Drosophila melanogaster: one gene and its partner. The gene in region 2 interacts genetically with the main gene of each other region. Each region holds a gene or a part of one and is shown on either strand. Other genes may lie near its edges.

Region 1 (8,064 bases), on a different chromosome or scaffold from region 2:
GTTTGTTGTTTTGAATTTGCGTTTCGCCTGCGAGTGCGAATGGGCGGGCGCTAGTGTTGCGCTCTCTCTTCCTCTCACTCGCTGTTTTTAGTTAATATAATTCTTCTACTTTTATTTTTTTTTTGCCGCCAAACGCGCGAGGCGACTTTTCGATGCCAACTGAGCGTTCTCAACGCGTGTCCTTAGCTTTTAAGCAGTCGCTGTCGCGGTCGCCGTTGCTGCCGGCGTCGCAGTCGACGTAGTCGCCAGCAGCACTAACAACAAATTCAACCAAGTATTGCCAATGGAAGTGACACCCCAGAGGTGTATATTAAATTAATGCCAACTTGGTTACAGAGCCCCAAAACGAATAAAATAATATGGGGCCAGATGTCGCTCCCAGTTCTCTGGGCGAATTATGGATGGTCAAGCATTAAAGTTCAGCAACATCGCAGCGGAGACTTCCTCGGGAGATTTGGAGCAGATAGTTGAGTTGGGCCAATGCCATATGAAGTGGTCACAATCTCAAGAACACACAGGCGAGACAGGAGAATGAACGATTTCAATTCCCTTAACAGTATCCTTGAATTTTTATTGTTCTACTGAAGTTGTAGAAAATTGCATTGCTAGTTTAGTTTTTCAGTTAGTTTTTCCAAATTATTTTTAGTGGAAAATGTAGTACTTCCCGTTTCCAAGGATATCTGTAAGTTAGCCACCAATGGACGGTGCAGAATGGACAGACTATTTACCTGGCAGGTGGGTTCGATCTTCTGTTACCTTAACTCCAAGTCATTACTATGGCGGTACTACAGGTGCCGCTAATTTGGCACGTTCCACACACGAAGCGGTCTAATCGCGGTTCTGTTTTTTTTTTTCGGCTGTCTGCCCCAGCCAGTGTGACGCTGCAAGCCAATCATGAATGGCCAAAGCACCCAGCCCCTCAATCCCAGAGGAACCCAGAATCAAGAAAACCGGATAACCAAGCCAGCAAGCGATCCAGTGGCCATTGGCGTTGACATTGGCATTATCAGTGCGTGATCATCGTGTCATTGTCAATGGGCTTCGGACAGAAATATTAATTACCACCCAGTCCGATAAGTTGGGAGATTATAAAGCACTACCCCCGTCAAAAACCCCATCCACAGGCACAGCCCCCATCCAAAACAAAAGAAAAACACCCACATTTGTGTAATTACTTTGTGACACTTTTTTTTTTGGCCACTCGATGCGGCAGGTAATCGCGGAAATTGCGTTGCCCATTCGATTTCGCTGATTGATAGGATACCTGTCCACTGTCCACAAATTCTCAACCGATCATATATGGGCGGCTTGGTGGAATCTCGCCCGAAATTCGGTGGGGAGTGTGTGGATTCCCCCGCCCTTTAACGTAACCAAGCCACCCTCACCCTACGAACAAAGAAAAGCCATCATTTGATCGATTTTCGTTAGCTGATTGCCATCCTAGCTCACAAAAATAGATTGAAAGTTTCCAAACACGCGCTTTAAGCTCCAAAAAAAGAAATGGGCGCCCAACAGGTGGCGTGAATACACGGCGAGAAAAGTGGCGTGCTTTCAAGTTATCAACTAATTTAATTGGCCCAATAAATAAATAGCTAAACATGTTTACATAAAGATAATTTTTATGAGCTCAGGGCATCTGTCGTAAATGCTTAAATTACCATGCACATGCTTACTAGCATTTTATTATTTTCCCAGGCCAAGTCAATAAGTTAAGTTGATAGTAGCAGTAAGCAGTGATAAGAGGTTTTCAGTTAAAAAGTGCAAATGCACTAAAAGTCTAAAAATGAAAGGTGGCTTATAGAAAATTTAATTACTTTTCAGGCGCTTGATTTTTTCCAGTGCAGTAGCGTGTGTTCCTACCACAAATCAAAGTTAGGCACTTCCAATGTTCCGGCTCCTGCTCCCATACATAAATTCCCAAATGGACAACTACTCCCAGCTACCGGTTACCTGGAACTTTAGTTTTGGCGCAAAACTTTTGGCATGTGCGTTTCAGCTATTCCTTTTTTCACTATTGACATTTGCGGATTGTGGCTCCTTGGGCGCCATATGGCAGCCAAAAAGCAACGAGGAGAACCTCGATAAGCACAAATTTTAACCGAAACTCTTAGGAACAAAAACTGAGTGACCACACGAAACGAATTCAGGGGTGTTAATTATTTATTGCAATTTTAAGTTGTGTGTAAGTTTCTCGTTTTATTCTTGGACAGGATATTCAAAATGCTTCCCTTGCCAACGCTTATTCCTTTTGCGTGTTTGGCGTGCGACTAAACCATTTTTTAATCGCTTAGTTTGCCGGGCCGGTTAAAACAGAGCTTTTTGAGGCAGAAAGCTCGATTGGGCGAAGTGAACACTTGTTGAGTGGCAATGCGCTGATTTAGGCACCTGCAAATCTAACTAAATTTATTATAAAATAGTGTTAATAAAGCTTCCTGAAATGAGTAATCAACCAAGCACTTACAACTGATGCCATCGAAGATGCTATTTAAAAATACCGCCAACTGGCGGTGGAAACGGGTTTTTTTTGGCTGCCCCATGTGTTAGGGCTGCCAGCTGAGCTGATAGCCTTGCCACCTTGCGCGACTAGCACACTTGTCAATTTGTTTTTCTTTCGTGTTTATTATTTCCTAGATTTCTTTTGAGCTGGCATTTCGTTCTGTTTTTCACGTTTTAACCCCGTTTTTCGGTAAACCTCGTTTCTAATCTCGTGACAAGTTTTTCCACCGCCCGGAAAGATGCTAAGCCAATTTTACTGCTTGTTTTTGTTGCTCCTCCACTTCTTCGTGGGCGTGACGTTGTCTGAAGAGGGGGAGTGCCGCCGCCTTAATCGCGCAGATATCGAGGGCAGACTGTCCACAAAGACGCCCTACAGAGCGATCGCAAATTATGACGAAACGCCACCGAAATACGCCGGTTTGTATTTTTGTTGTTTTCTGTGTAACGCACCCACAGTAGGCACCCGCTTAGAAATACAAACATGTGTTGTGCCATGTGACAGTTAACAGCGCTCGCTTAATACAGTGAATTCATAATCATGAAAGCATATGGATTCTTTATTGATCATAAAACAGAGAATCGCTTTAGATTTGTTATTATACTATTACTAGTTTATTATTACCGATGCCTACTGCTAGCAAATGGCAATGGAACAGCTGATTTTTCTCTTTTAACCGTTTCACCCGACAAGGCTGCCATCCGACGCGAATTTGGACCATCATCCGACACGGAACTAGAAATCCTAGCGAATCCGTTATCCTTCAGGCGCAAAATCGACTATCAGAGATAAAGAAACGCATTCTGGATCAGACGAAGCCGCCGATCTGCACCGCTGAATTGGAAAAGCTGCGCCAATGGCACTGGATGCATCTGAATGCCACTGAAGATGAGAAATTACTGGTGGCCGAGGGTGAGGATGAGCTGATTGAGCTGGCGGAACGGATGCAGCGGCGATTTCCGGATCTACTTCCGGAGTTGTACAATCCGGAGTGGTACTACTTCAAGTATACTGCGACCCAGAGAACGCTGAAAAGTGCGGAAAGCTTCGCTACGGGTTTGTTCGGCCGTCATCGCATCCATACTGTACGATATCCGCCGCCTTTGCACGAGGATCCTGTTTTGCGGGTGAGCAGTCCTTTAGTTTTTTCTGTCAATGTAACCAAAACAAACTTTTGAATTACGCGCTACAAATGAGCTTGTAATGATCTGGCAACGCCATTCATTACAGCTAGGCCATTTCGCTGTTAGTTTATTATCGATATCAATGTTGTAAACCGCTTGCCAGCGTGCAATCGAAAAAATCATCGATTTTTGTTCCAGCTCTATTTTCTGCGCAATTCTTTTCGTATAATATAATTCGATTAAACATAAATAAATAAACCCAAGCGAAAGTAAATAAACCTGTTAATGCGCACCATCTTCCGTCGGAGATCGCTCGCTATAGTTGTACGGTTTTTATTTTGTCCCGGCATCGACCTAATCAGCCCAGGCGGCGTGTTTTCCCCGAGTTCTTTTTACCCGTTTTCGGGAAATGGTCCGCGATCCGTAGGCGGAAAACGTGGAGAAGAGGAACGTGGAAAGAAAAGCAGAAAAGCGCGGAGCGGAGCTGAGGAGGCGCTGGCGGTGGTGGAGGTGCGGAAAGTGCGAAAAGTGTTTGGGGTTATGTGCTAGAGTCCCCTCGGGGGGATTTTTAGCTGATTGAATCCGCGACCGAGACGTAATCGCTCCGGGAAATCGCTCGCATTGAGCTGCACCCTCTCCTCGGCAAACGGAAAAAGAAAAAAAGCAATACAGCGAGAAACGAGAGAAACAAAAAGCACGCAGAACATGACAAGTGCCGTTCGCGCTAAGTCCGCCGCTGCCGCAGTCGGCGTCGCAGTCGACGAAAGCAGCGGCAGCAGCAACGGCAGCGTCGCGGATCAAGAGGTGGCCTCCAGCAAGGAGGCCGTCCTGAGCGTCCTAATCCGCAAGAGATACGAGAAATATGTATTCGCCCCGTGGGACGATCCGATAATCTTGATAATGGAGCAACTGGAGCACATCGAGCACTGTCGATCCGCCGCCTTGGGGAACCAGGTGGCCATCGGCCGGGACCCATCTCAGGACGACTCTCTGAACGACCTGGGTAAGGTGATTAGCAACATGAGGCAGGACCAATCACTGGTACCAATCGTGAAGCACATCGAGCAAATATCCGACATTCAGGCCTCCAACGGCCAGGAACTGGCCTCCCTCGGTTCTTTGAGGGAGCTAATCCGGACTATCAGAAAGGAATGGCCCCGGGACGACTCTATCAAACTGCGGTTGAAGGAAATACAGATCCTGGGCATGCCGCCCGCTCGGAGCTTATGCTTCGGCGAGCGTATCCGCGACGACAGGTGCCCGCTCTCCCTGCAGACTAAAAGGCACAAGGAGCGCATCCAGGCCATGATGTACGAGAGACAGCCGTGGCGCATCCGCGAGCGCATGAAGACGGCAAGTGTGGCCCTGGTTCTGTGCCTCAACATCGGCGTGGATCCGCCGGACGTGGTCAAGATCCAACCCTGCTCACGGCTAGAGTGCTGGATAGATCCCAGCTCGGTGTCCCCGCCAAAGGCCATGGAACTCATTGGAAGCAACCTGCAGATGCAGTACGAACGCTGGCAGCCAAGGGCCCGGTACAAGAAGTGCAACGATCCCACCGTGGATGACGTTAAGAAGCTCTGCACCTCCCTACGCCGGAACGCCAAGGGGGAGCGCATACTCTTCCACTACAACGGACACGGAGTGCCCAAGCCCACAGCCAACGGGGAGATCTGGGTGTTCAACAAGACCTTCACGCAGTACATCCCCCTGAGCATATTCGAGCTTATCACTTGGATGTCAGCGCCCTCCATCTACGTGTATGACTGCTCCAACGCCGGGATCATCATCAATTCGTTTCAGCCATACGCTAAACAGCACGAGGAAGAACTAGGGAAGGCGCTGGCCGCCGCCCAGCAGAGGGGTGGTGTCCAACAGTTAGTGGGCGGCTCTGGTGGTGCCGCCAACGTAGCCGCCAACCAGGTGCAGTTAACCAACCAGATGGTCAGTTACAAGAACTGTATACACCTGGCTGCCTGTGCTGCAAACGAGATTCTTCCGATGAATGCACAGCTGCCGGCGGATCTTTTCACCAGCTGTCTGACAACACCCATTAACATAGCGCTCAAGTGGTACGCCATGCAAGAAAAGCTGGGCATGGTACCGCGTATTCAGAGCGAACTGATCGACAAGATTCCAGGTAAGGTTATACCTTTACTCACCCAGGGAATGCTGTTAACCATTAAATTCTATCGCAGGCAAGGTCAACGACCGGCGCACTATGATGGGTGAGCTTAACTGGATCTTCACCGCCATTACGGACACGATAGCATGGAACACACTTCCTCGCGAGCTCTTTCAGCGCCTGTTTCGCCAGGATCTGCTGGTGGCCAGCTTGTTCCGCAATTTCCTGTTGGCCGAGCGCATTCTGCGAAGCCACGACTGCACACCAGTTTCCCTGCCTGCCCTGCCGCCTTGTTATCGCCATCCGATGTGGAAGGCCTGGGATCTGGTGGTAGATTTGGCTCTACAGCAGCTGCCGGAGATTCTCGATCACAATGCGCCGTACCGCCAGCTGCCATTCTTCGAGCACCAGCTCACGGCCTTCCAGGTTTGGCTGGACAGCGAATCGGAGTCGAGAACGCCACCGGAACAGCTGCCCATTGTGCTGCAGGTCCTACTGTCGCAGGTGCACCGTCTGAGGGCCTTGGAGCTGCTGGCTCGCTTTCTGGATCTTGGTCCGTGGGCCGTTAATCTCGCCCTGGGCGTGGGCATCTTTCCATACGTGCTTAAACTGCTGCAGAGTTCTACGCGCGAACTGCGACCCGTTTTGGTGTTCATTTGGGCCAAGATCCTGGCCGTGGATCCCAGCTGCCAGGTGGATCTGGTCAAGGAATACAAGTACTTCCTCTCCGTGCTGCAGGACACCTCCGTTTCCAAGGAGCACCGTACACTGTCCGCCTTTGTATTGTCCTCCATAGTGCACAACTTCCTGCTGGGACAGACGAGCGCGCTTCAAGGTCCCCTACTGTCTATTTGCCTTGAGCAGTTGAACGACGGAAGTTGGCTGCTGCGCCAGTGGCTAGCCATCTGTCTGGGCATGCTGTGGCAGAACTTTGAGAAGGCGCGTTGGTCGGGAGCACGCGACCTGGCGCACGAGAAGCTGTACGTACTGCTGCGGGACTCGATACCGGAAGTGAGAGCCGCTGCCGTCTTCGCCTTAGGCACATTTATTAGCTCCGTGACGGATCGTAGCGAGGAACAGGCCAATAATATCGATCGCATCATTGCCATTACCATGCTCGAAACCGTCGGCGAGGATATGTCGCCGCTGGTCCGCATGGAGCTGGCCGCCGCCCTGCAATGGATGGTGGTGCTCTTCGAGTCACAGTTCGTGGCAGTATATCTAACTGAACACATGCGCGGTCACGTCTCCGCCGCCTCGTTCGTGATGTGCCCCGATCCCCGGGATCTGACGTCTTCCACGCACAGCCTGGAGCGTCATGTGACCATTCGCAGGGGAGCCAGCTCCAGCTCCATATCCAACATGGGTGGTGCGTCAATAAGCTCGGGAACAGGATCATCCAGCAACCCTTTGGGTCGCTCGAAGAGTGGTTCTGGCAGTTCGGGTGGAAGAGGAGCAGCCGGAGCTGCGGGTGGTACTAACAGCATACCCTTTCAGTCAATCTTTACCAAGCTCTGGCTGGGCATCTGCAATCTGGCCCAGGATCCGTTTCCTCGTGTAGCGGCCATTGCCCAGGAGATTGTTGAACATGTGAGGGACACGGCACTGTGTCCCATCATGGCCGCAAAGGAAGCCACCATGGCCAATGCCTCGGAGAAATGCAGCAGTCTAAGTGTTAGCCTCCCGCCCAGCCCAAATACAAGAGTTAATTACTTGGGCGGTGGCGGTGCACCAGGAGGAGCTGGCGCGACTGCAGAATCACCGCCCGTCGGAGCAGCTGCCTCGGGCGCCAGTCACTGGGCACAAAAGCTACGACTATCGGGCAGTGGAGCCTGCATGGGTGCTGGAGATCCTCAAACCATTCTGCAGCGCAAGCTGCGCACCAGCTCCATTAACGATGAGACGGACAGCGGACCAGGGTACTCCAGAGGAGTTGCGGGTGCCGGAACTGGTCTGGGACTGCCCAGTGGACCGAGGGAGAGCACCCATTCGGCGCGGAGCAGCGGCAGCGAGAGCAATCATTACCTGGAGCCAGGACACAGCCTCACGCCCATTGTCCTGACCGAATTCATACCCTGGGCCATTTCCTATTTCACACGGCCCGGCAAGGAGCGCTACAGCAGCGCCGAGGGATCGGCAGAGGAGGGGCGCCAGCGCTTCCCAGTGGACCGAAACTCAGCGGAGCTGCGACGCAGGAGGTTGCGCTTCCTGAGGAACGATTTCGTACGCCGACATGCCGGCCGAAAGCACCAGGAGCTGATCGATCCGTACGGCTTCGATGTGTGCGTATGGAACCGGAAGACACAGTTCACGCCTTCCAT
Region 2 (7,963 bases):
TTAATTTAATTGATTTGTAGGATCAAAATTATTTCTTCGGTGTAGATTTGTTTTCCCTGTTCTAGGAAAAGTTCTGCGTTCTATGCGTTTCGCCATTTAACATTTAAATGCGGCGAAGGCGTTGAAAGTGCGTCTCCCTGCTGGTTTGCTGGCTTGCCTGTTTGCCTTCCGCCCATTTCGCGGCGTGGGCGTGTCAAGATCCATTTGCATATTACCCCCACCAGGAGCCACCAGAATCCATAGGATCTCTAGGCTTTTGCTTTGGCTATATAGCTGCAGTCGATGCGAATCGCGGGAATAACCCTTTGACATTTTTCAATTTGCCTTGGCTGTTGTTTTCGTCTTTTGTTTTTACCCGTCGCCTAGTTCAAGGCAAACATTTTTCGGCTAGTCTTGGTTAAGGTTTCCTTTTGCCCTACACTTTTTCATCGCTTTCTTGCTATTTCCTTCTCACTTTTTGCTTTGTTGTCTGGGCCGACAAAGTTGTTGGGCTTTTAGCGCAAATCATTTGGCTGTGAAGTTTGGTTTTTGCGTAGGACAGAATTTTGGAAATTCAGAGAGTCCTCGTAGAAACAATGACAACATTTTCGGCAAACAAAAGGAGCGGGGGGAGGGGGGCCGGCGTCATGGAACTGAGCTTTATGTTTAGCAGCAGAGCCAACTGCAATTGCAATTGCAATTTGTGTGAAAACCGAAACCAAACAAGCAGCAAATCAGCAAACATAAACACATACTGTCAGACAGACAAAACGCATTGAGCCACGCCCACTACCAACACACACACACACACACACACATGCGTTGCCTACGTGACCTCCTTAAGCGCCCACCGCCTCCCGTCCCTAGCCACACCCCCTTGCCTTGCCATCACTTTGCTGCTACAAATTCACTTCACTTCGTTCTTTTCTCTAGTAATTTTCTCAAAACCTTCCTACATCCCTCCTCCAACCTAAAAAATAAAAAAAAAACACAACCACCACCCACTCTAGATGAGAGCTTTGCGCCAATTTTTTCATGTTTTCATGCGTGTTGCGTGCACAACAATAACAACAACAGGGCAAAAACAAAATAAAGAGCCAGCAGCAACAACAATGACGAGGATGATTGTTAAAGTGTGGCAACAACAACTACAATGGATGGCGAAGTCAAGTGCCTGGCAAAGGCAATCACACACACACACAAACGAAAGCACACGCATAAAATATGTATGCGCCTATGCACTAGTATTTGTGCCAGTTTTCATTGCATAACGCTAGGTAACCTGGCACTTTTCCTTTTGTGCTCCGTGAAAAGCACAGAGTTCACTATTTTCATATTTCTGTTATTTTCTTTTACCCACTTGCGTTTCGCTCTCGAATTTCCGGTAATGAAAACCCGGTGCAACAGCAGCACCTTCCTCTTGAGTCAAAGTTTTTCCCGTCTTGAGTTTTCCCACCCGCCATGTCAGGTGCCATTTATACTCCAAGTTTTTCTCCAGAGGAATACTCGTACAAATTAAAAACATTGCAATAACTTTTTATATAGTGCATATATAAACATGCATAAAATAACTAGAAGTTAAAATAAATATTTTTTAAGAATATTGAATAAGGGTGAAATATGGAAAAAAAAAGAGCACAGTTAAATAAACTCGAAACAAGCACGTAATATTAAACTGAGTCACTAGTCAAAAAATTATACTTTAGTCTTTAAATCTCACTGAAAATATAAATATGTACATTTCATTTATCATCTGCATTCGTTAAATTGAACATCTAAATTTGCATGTCAACAGTCCAGCAAGACTGAATCACATAAATTTTTAAAGCTCCACCCATTTTCTCCAGCTGAACATTTATTTGCGGCGTTGCACTAAATTTTTGGATCATTGTGCCACTAATAAGAATCAATGAGTGTGTTGTGGGGTTAGAAGGGGGTGTGGCATATGGGAGGAGGTGGAGCAAACAAATTGGAGCAGTAGAAACCCAATTCCATTCGTAATAGCCTGTCAACAGGGCGCATTGTTGTTCATTTCGCTGTTATTATTTCTATTGTAAATTGATATCGCGAAACGAGTTGCGAAAAAAATGAGAGGAAAAGCGAGCTTTTCGATTGCCCTGCACTTCAAGTGCTCGATGTGTAATAATGGTTTAGCCAAAAACTTATGCGGAAAACCAAACTGCAAATTATCCCCAAAACCGATTGTTTTCATTTGGCGAACTTGTCGCTTGTGTAAACAGAATCGAAATGCCATCGTCTCCTTTCTAGATGTGTGGCATCATAAATTCCCTTGACAACCAAATACCTCGGTGTGAAAATAAATAAAAAAAAAACCGAAGTAAAAAGCAGGGGGAACGAAAGAGTGTAAATTGCATGGTGGATTGAAACCGAAACCATGGGCTTTGGACTCATGGCATGACGCATCTCATGGATGGAACATGGAGAAAAGATACAGAAAGCAGAACGGAACGGGCTCTAAAAAACAAAAACGAGACACAATCAGATGGCAAAATGAGTAGAGGGCCACAAAACCAGATGTGGGCAAACATAAATAAATAAATAAATAACACATTCGAAACTAATCCGAATAATCAATGCAAGCGCGTGGCTGCTTATCGAATAAATTGAAGTGAGGCAAAATGAATCAAGTCCCAATATCAGTCTGATGAGCAAGAATAAGCATAATCTCAACAGTCTTACGCTTTGATGACTAATAATGATTGCCTGAGTTTACAGAAAAACAAGACTTTAGTCAACATAAAACGTTATTAACAAAAGCCAACCAAAAAACTGCACATATTGTTTAAAACCTAAGCATTCAAATTAAGCGAGTCAAAAACCATTCAAATGTCGTGCAGAATTGTGGTGCACATTATAGACATATTGATTTCATTGTGCGCTGTCAAACCAAGTTATCAATATGCCAAAGCAAATTAATTAACAATTCTCTCATTTTCTACAAATTAAAATCTATAAATTACGATATACTTAATATCGAATTTCAAAAGTGCACAAACTAATTGAATTCCCATCTTTTATGAGCAATGTGAAATTTAATCAATTTCAATTTCGTCAAAATTAATCGAATGGAAAACGTTCGAAAAGCTGATGATTTATAGATTTTGGGTTGCCAACTAGAATGCAATAAATCGAATTGGGGAAATCCCTCGAATTCAAAGGCATTCCATATGGAAAATGAGGAACTTAACCCTTGGTCTGCACATGAGAAATACCATAATATCTCCCCCGATATATTCCCATATAATCCCGCCCCTGGCAACAACAATTGCAACGTGCCACGCCCCCCCGCCCAAGGGCAACTTCTCTGGCGTTTCGGGGCATTTGTCATACTTCCCTTCGACGGGCAGCAAGAGTAAACATGGAAGTTGGATGGTATAAAAAGAACGATCCAACAGAGAAGAAGATGGAAAACTAAAATTGCGCATATTTTTGTTTGTGGCGGGGCGAGGGGTTTGGGGGAAGGGGGTGCTGAAAGGGATGTGGAGTGAAGGGGGGGTGGGGGTAGTGAAGGAATGAGAAACATGCTGTGGCAAACAGATGTACAAATGAGGGTCTGCAAGTGGGTGGCGGTGGGGAGATCGAGGGGGTACATGCACTCTTGCACTGGAGCAAAAAAACATTCCTCCTTTATGATTTAATGCGTTCTACATTTTAACGCACATACAATTTTATTATTTATGTGGCGTGGTGAGCAATAATGATACTCCACATTGAGATATGTAACTAAATTCATTTTCTATAAATGCATAACGGACTAGAACTAGTTTTACCATATGGAACACATTCAACTTTAAAATTTATTCTTGATTATGTGTCCAAAAATTATCCAATAAGAACATTATTCCTAGGTTTTGCAATCCAATGAGGCAATAGTGTTACATAATGTGTGATGTCTCTTTATTGAACAGAAAACTTCCTGATACAATTCAAAGTGAATTAATCGAATTTGAGAACTGTTGGATAATTTTTTCCTGTGCAGACGGAATGCAAAAATTGCAGTGAGGGAAACTATAAAAACTTACGGATTTTTGGGGAAACATTCTAAATCCAAAGAGCACACTTTGCAATTTCTTTGCCTTTTGTTTGCTGTTGTTTTTATTTAGAAGTTTTTGCCTTTCCCTTCCTAATACCACTTTGTACTACAGCTAAAGGCTTCTATTTCGACTCACCTTATAGACGTCGCCGTAGGTTCCCGAGCCAATCTTTTGGATGAGTTCGTACTCGTCCTGCGGATTTCGGCGAGAGATGTCCGAGCTGAGCATATTGGCATTGTGGTGACTGTGGGCGGCGGCCATCTTGGCAGCTTCCGTATCCGTATGCCGTTGCCGTTTCCGCTTCCGCTTCCGCTTTCGGTTCGAGGCGATCGAGTCCTTTTGGCTGGACCTCTCTTTACTGGGTGGGTATACTCTTAATATTTGATTGACACTCTTACTCTTGACGCTGCTTTATTCGTTTTTTGGGTTTGACTGATTAGCACACGTAGCAGGCGAAATTTAGATACTTTTGTGGATCGAGATGCATTTTGGACGCTTTGAAATACACACAATTACGTAAGGTTAACTGGACTTTTGTATATTATGTATTAAACATATACATTTATTTCATATGAATCAGATTCTGATCAGAGAATTGAATTGATACACACACGAAACTAGAGAATCGCGAATTATGACGCAGAATAAAAAAAAAAGCGATGAAAACAAAAATCAGCAAATAAAGCAGCAACAACAAATTTGATAAAGGCCAGGGTGGAGAAGAAGGTGGAGAAAGCGCGGGGGTGGGAGCGAGAGGGCAAGTGAACGATGTCTCGTTTTTTGTAATCCCCTCTCTCGTTCGCGCTCTCTCTCTTCCACTGCATATATTCTTTATCTTCTCGTCTCCTCTTCCTTGCTTCTCAATGCATTTGCACTTTAATTACTTTTTATTAGAATTTATGAAGGCCACTTTTGTTTTTGCCAGCGAAATTGCCTAAATAAATAAATAGTTGCTGTGCTGCCGAGTAAAAAAACACGCGACAACAAAAACAACAACGCGAGGCGTGTCGCTTTGTCGCCCGTTCGTGGTGTTGTTGTTGCTGGTGTAAATACTACGTTTATTATTTTTTTTTTATAATTTTATTCCGATTTTCGCTAAGCGCTAGGTGAGCACCACAAACCGTTCACATATTACACCGACACGTGATTGCGGGGCAAATTCGGCCAGTGGATAATTAACAATTGTCCTACGAACACGAAAAATTTCACATGCACTTCGTCAACGCGCAGCCCACAAATGTTGTTGTTCCTCTCACCCCTCGCTAGCGATGGCACTCTGCCCGCGGGCCTATCGATAGCAGCGCTGGTCGTTCGGCGGTGGCAACTCTGTCGGGCTGTCGTTTCGAAGATATCGATATTAGTTGGCCAGAAGGGGTGGCCAGACAGGGGAAATTTTTAAACTGCTGAAGGACATTCGAAATTCAATAAAATGAATCATTGAATCCACATGAAAGTACATTTAGTAGCAGCGTTAAAGGAATACATTAGTTAAAGCTCTCAAATCTACTTCAATGTTTCTTTAGTTATTAATTAGAATGTCATACAAATGATTTGTCACTGTATTGCCAATCAGCAATGTTTTATAGGAACTTCCCCTTAATCTTTCCTACGTTACTAAGACCTAAATCAGCCACAAACTGGGAAAACTCCTTTGTGCAGACCGCCGTTCCCAACAACAACAATTGGATCCTAAACTCGAAACAAGTGAAATGTTTAATATCTACACGCAAACTACTGCCAACTGCTTTCCGAAAAATATCCGGTATTATTAGTGATCACAACTTTATTGATTCACCGAATTTGTTGTTTAATTTAAAAAAAAAACCCTAATTCACTTTTATTTTGTACAATTATTATTCGTGTTTGTAGAAAATACAAAATATCAAAGGGCTCGAGCACGTTGACACGGAGAAATGGGTTAAAAACGAATCCAAAGAACTTATTGCACATGTGTGTGTTCGCGTGAGTGTATAAATAAATAACGTAAAATGTATCGAGATGTTCCATAGCAGAAGAAGATGGTTAGCACAGCTCCTTCCTTCACTTCTATGTAACTAGGGTATTATTTCGATTAAGGTTTCTCGGCTTGGGGCTGTCTGGCTTGGATTCCAGGGTATTCCCCATATTCACAGCTTCCGTATGCTGCGATCTGCCGCCGCTGAATTGAGTTTAGTTCTGTGAAAATAAGAGAAAAACGAACGTTAGATATATCTAGACAAGTGCAATATCAATGGTTAACAATTGGAAAACAAGCTTCAAACAGTATTAGGCCGAATCTGAACGAATTAACTGAACAATCCTCAGAAGGAATTGCATTAGTATGGATCGCAGTGCGATCAAAACCGAACGAGAGTGTTAATTTAGTACACAACACAGTGGAGCAGAACGAGGAATTTCATGCGAATGCGTTGCCAGCTTACCCCGATTTTCCAGCTGCCAAAGGGTCAACTGGAAAATGCGCGAACCACACAAAACTGCAGCAGAACGGATCTAGAACCCTGGAGTTTTTTCTATTTTTTGTTTGGTCAAATCGAAGGAGGATTGTGTAGGTTCTTTTTTAACTATATATATGTATATATATGGCGTCAGAATGAACTCGCACATCGCTTGGATAGCACTTAAGAATGGTATTTAACTGGCTTTAAAGATGCTGTGCTGTGGCTGAGACCTTTCTACTCCTCACTGGCCATCCTGTGTCCGTGTGGGTGGTTTGGTTGTATTTCGTGTGAGGGATGCGATGAGAAAAAGAGCTCGAATTAGTGCCCAGAAGTTATATTACACATAATGAAACAGCGTGGCCAAGCGAGGTGACAGTGCGATTGGGTATGGGAGGATGCTAGCGGAAGCCGGAAAACGAAGCCGAATTTTCCATTTCTGACGCCAATTCAGTGGAGTGAGTAAATCAAAAATTGCTCTTGGTAAATATCAAACTGCATTTGGCGGATTCAAGTTGTTTACAAAAGAATAAGTATTCAGATAGTTGGATTGGTCACAAAATAAGGATTTAGTTAACTAGGTTTATATCTCTCTCTGTGAGTACCGGAAATGACGTTCTGTTTTATTTATTTTTTGTTTCATTGGGTGGGTGTGCGTATTCGTGTGTTGTGTTGTGTGTGTGTGTGGAAAGAGAAAAATAAAACGAAATCAATAAATTAGTATTGGGTATTGGTTAGGAGTTTGTAATTCCCTCAAATATCAAAATCGGGCAGAGAAAAGGATGAAAAGCTGACGGAGATTCAGGTACACTTACAGTTCCATGGAGAGCACCGTGGGATTGGGACATGCTTGTGGTGCCCGTATGTGGCACTGCTTGTGACTAATCAGCTGGCAGTCGCGACACTCGTAGCCCTGCTTTCCGGGCCTCCGCGGGATGGACTTCATACAGATGGAGCACTGCAGACCGCTTCTGGAATGTGAAAGGATTCGTTAATTATATTCAAAGCAACTAATGCTTACTACTTTAAACTTACCCGCTCAAATGCTTGGCGATGAAGGTGTGATCGTTGTAGATGTGCAGCTTGGTGCCCTTGCGACGCCAGCGCGGTCTCTGGGCGATGGCCAAAGGCACAATGAAGTGGCTAAAGATCATGCACATGAAGCAGTTCCATCAGAATCCATAAAATGCAAACACTCGATCGAAACTCACCGCTTTATGCCATTCTCGATGGTCTCCAGCACCAGGGTGGAGGCCTCGTGCACGTAGGTTTTATTGCTAGCCGAGGAAAAGCCTGAGATGGCCGAGGATTCTGAAATTGAGGAGCGACGTGAGTGGTCGGTGATGGAGTGACCAATGCCCATGCGTGGTCCTGCGTTTTATTAATTTTAGTGTGTGTTTGTTTTTGTTTTTTTTTTATGTGGCAAGTTGAGAGTGGCACACAAACCAAGCACCCGTTAGGACCCATCAAATCATATTTTGCACATATGAAAAT

The links. Genes that interact genetically often act in the same process or in processes that back each other up.
Region 1: of hppy (region 2) and raptor, changing one enhances a phenotype caused by changing the other (phenotypic enhancement), as found in Drosophila melanogaster (one study listed by BioGRID).

Annotation. Positions count from the first base shown.
Region 1 is NC_004354.4:6,085,966-6,094,029, reverse strand, and holds the start of raptor (raptor), read left to right. Parts: upstream 1-3,828; 5' UTR 3,829-4,323; coding exon 4,324-5,758; intron 5,759-5,816; coding exon 5,817-8,064. Other genes in the region: Mipp2 (multiple inositol polyphosphate phosphatase 2), read left to right, coding at 2,736-2,913, 3,188-3,621.
Region 2 is NT_033778.4:19,176,065-19,184,027, reverse strand, and holds the start of hppy (happyhour), read right to left. Parts: upstream 5,291-7,963; 5' UTR 5,156-5,290; intron 4,530-5,155; 5' UTR 4,296-4,529; coding exon 4,170-4,295; intron 1-4,169. Other genes in the region: CG10737 (uncharacterized protein), read right to left, coding at 7,039-7,087, 7,285-7,440, 7,505-7,612, 7,681-7,840.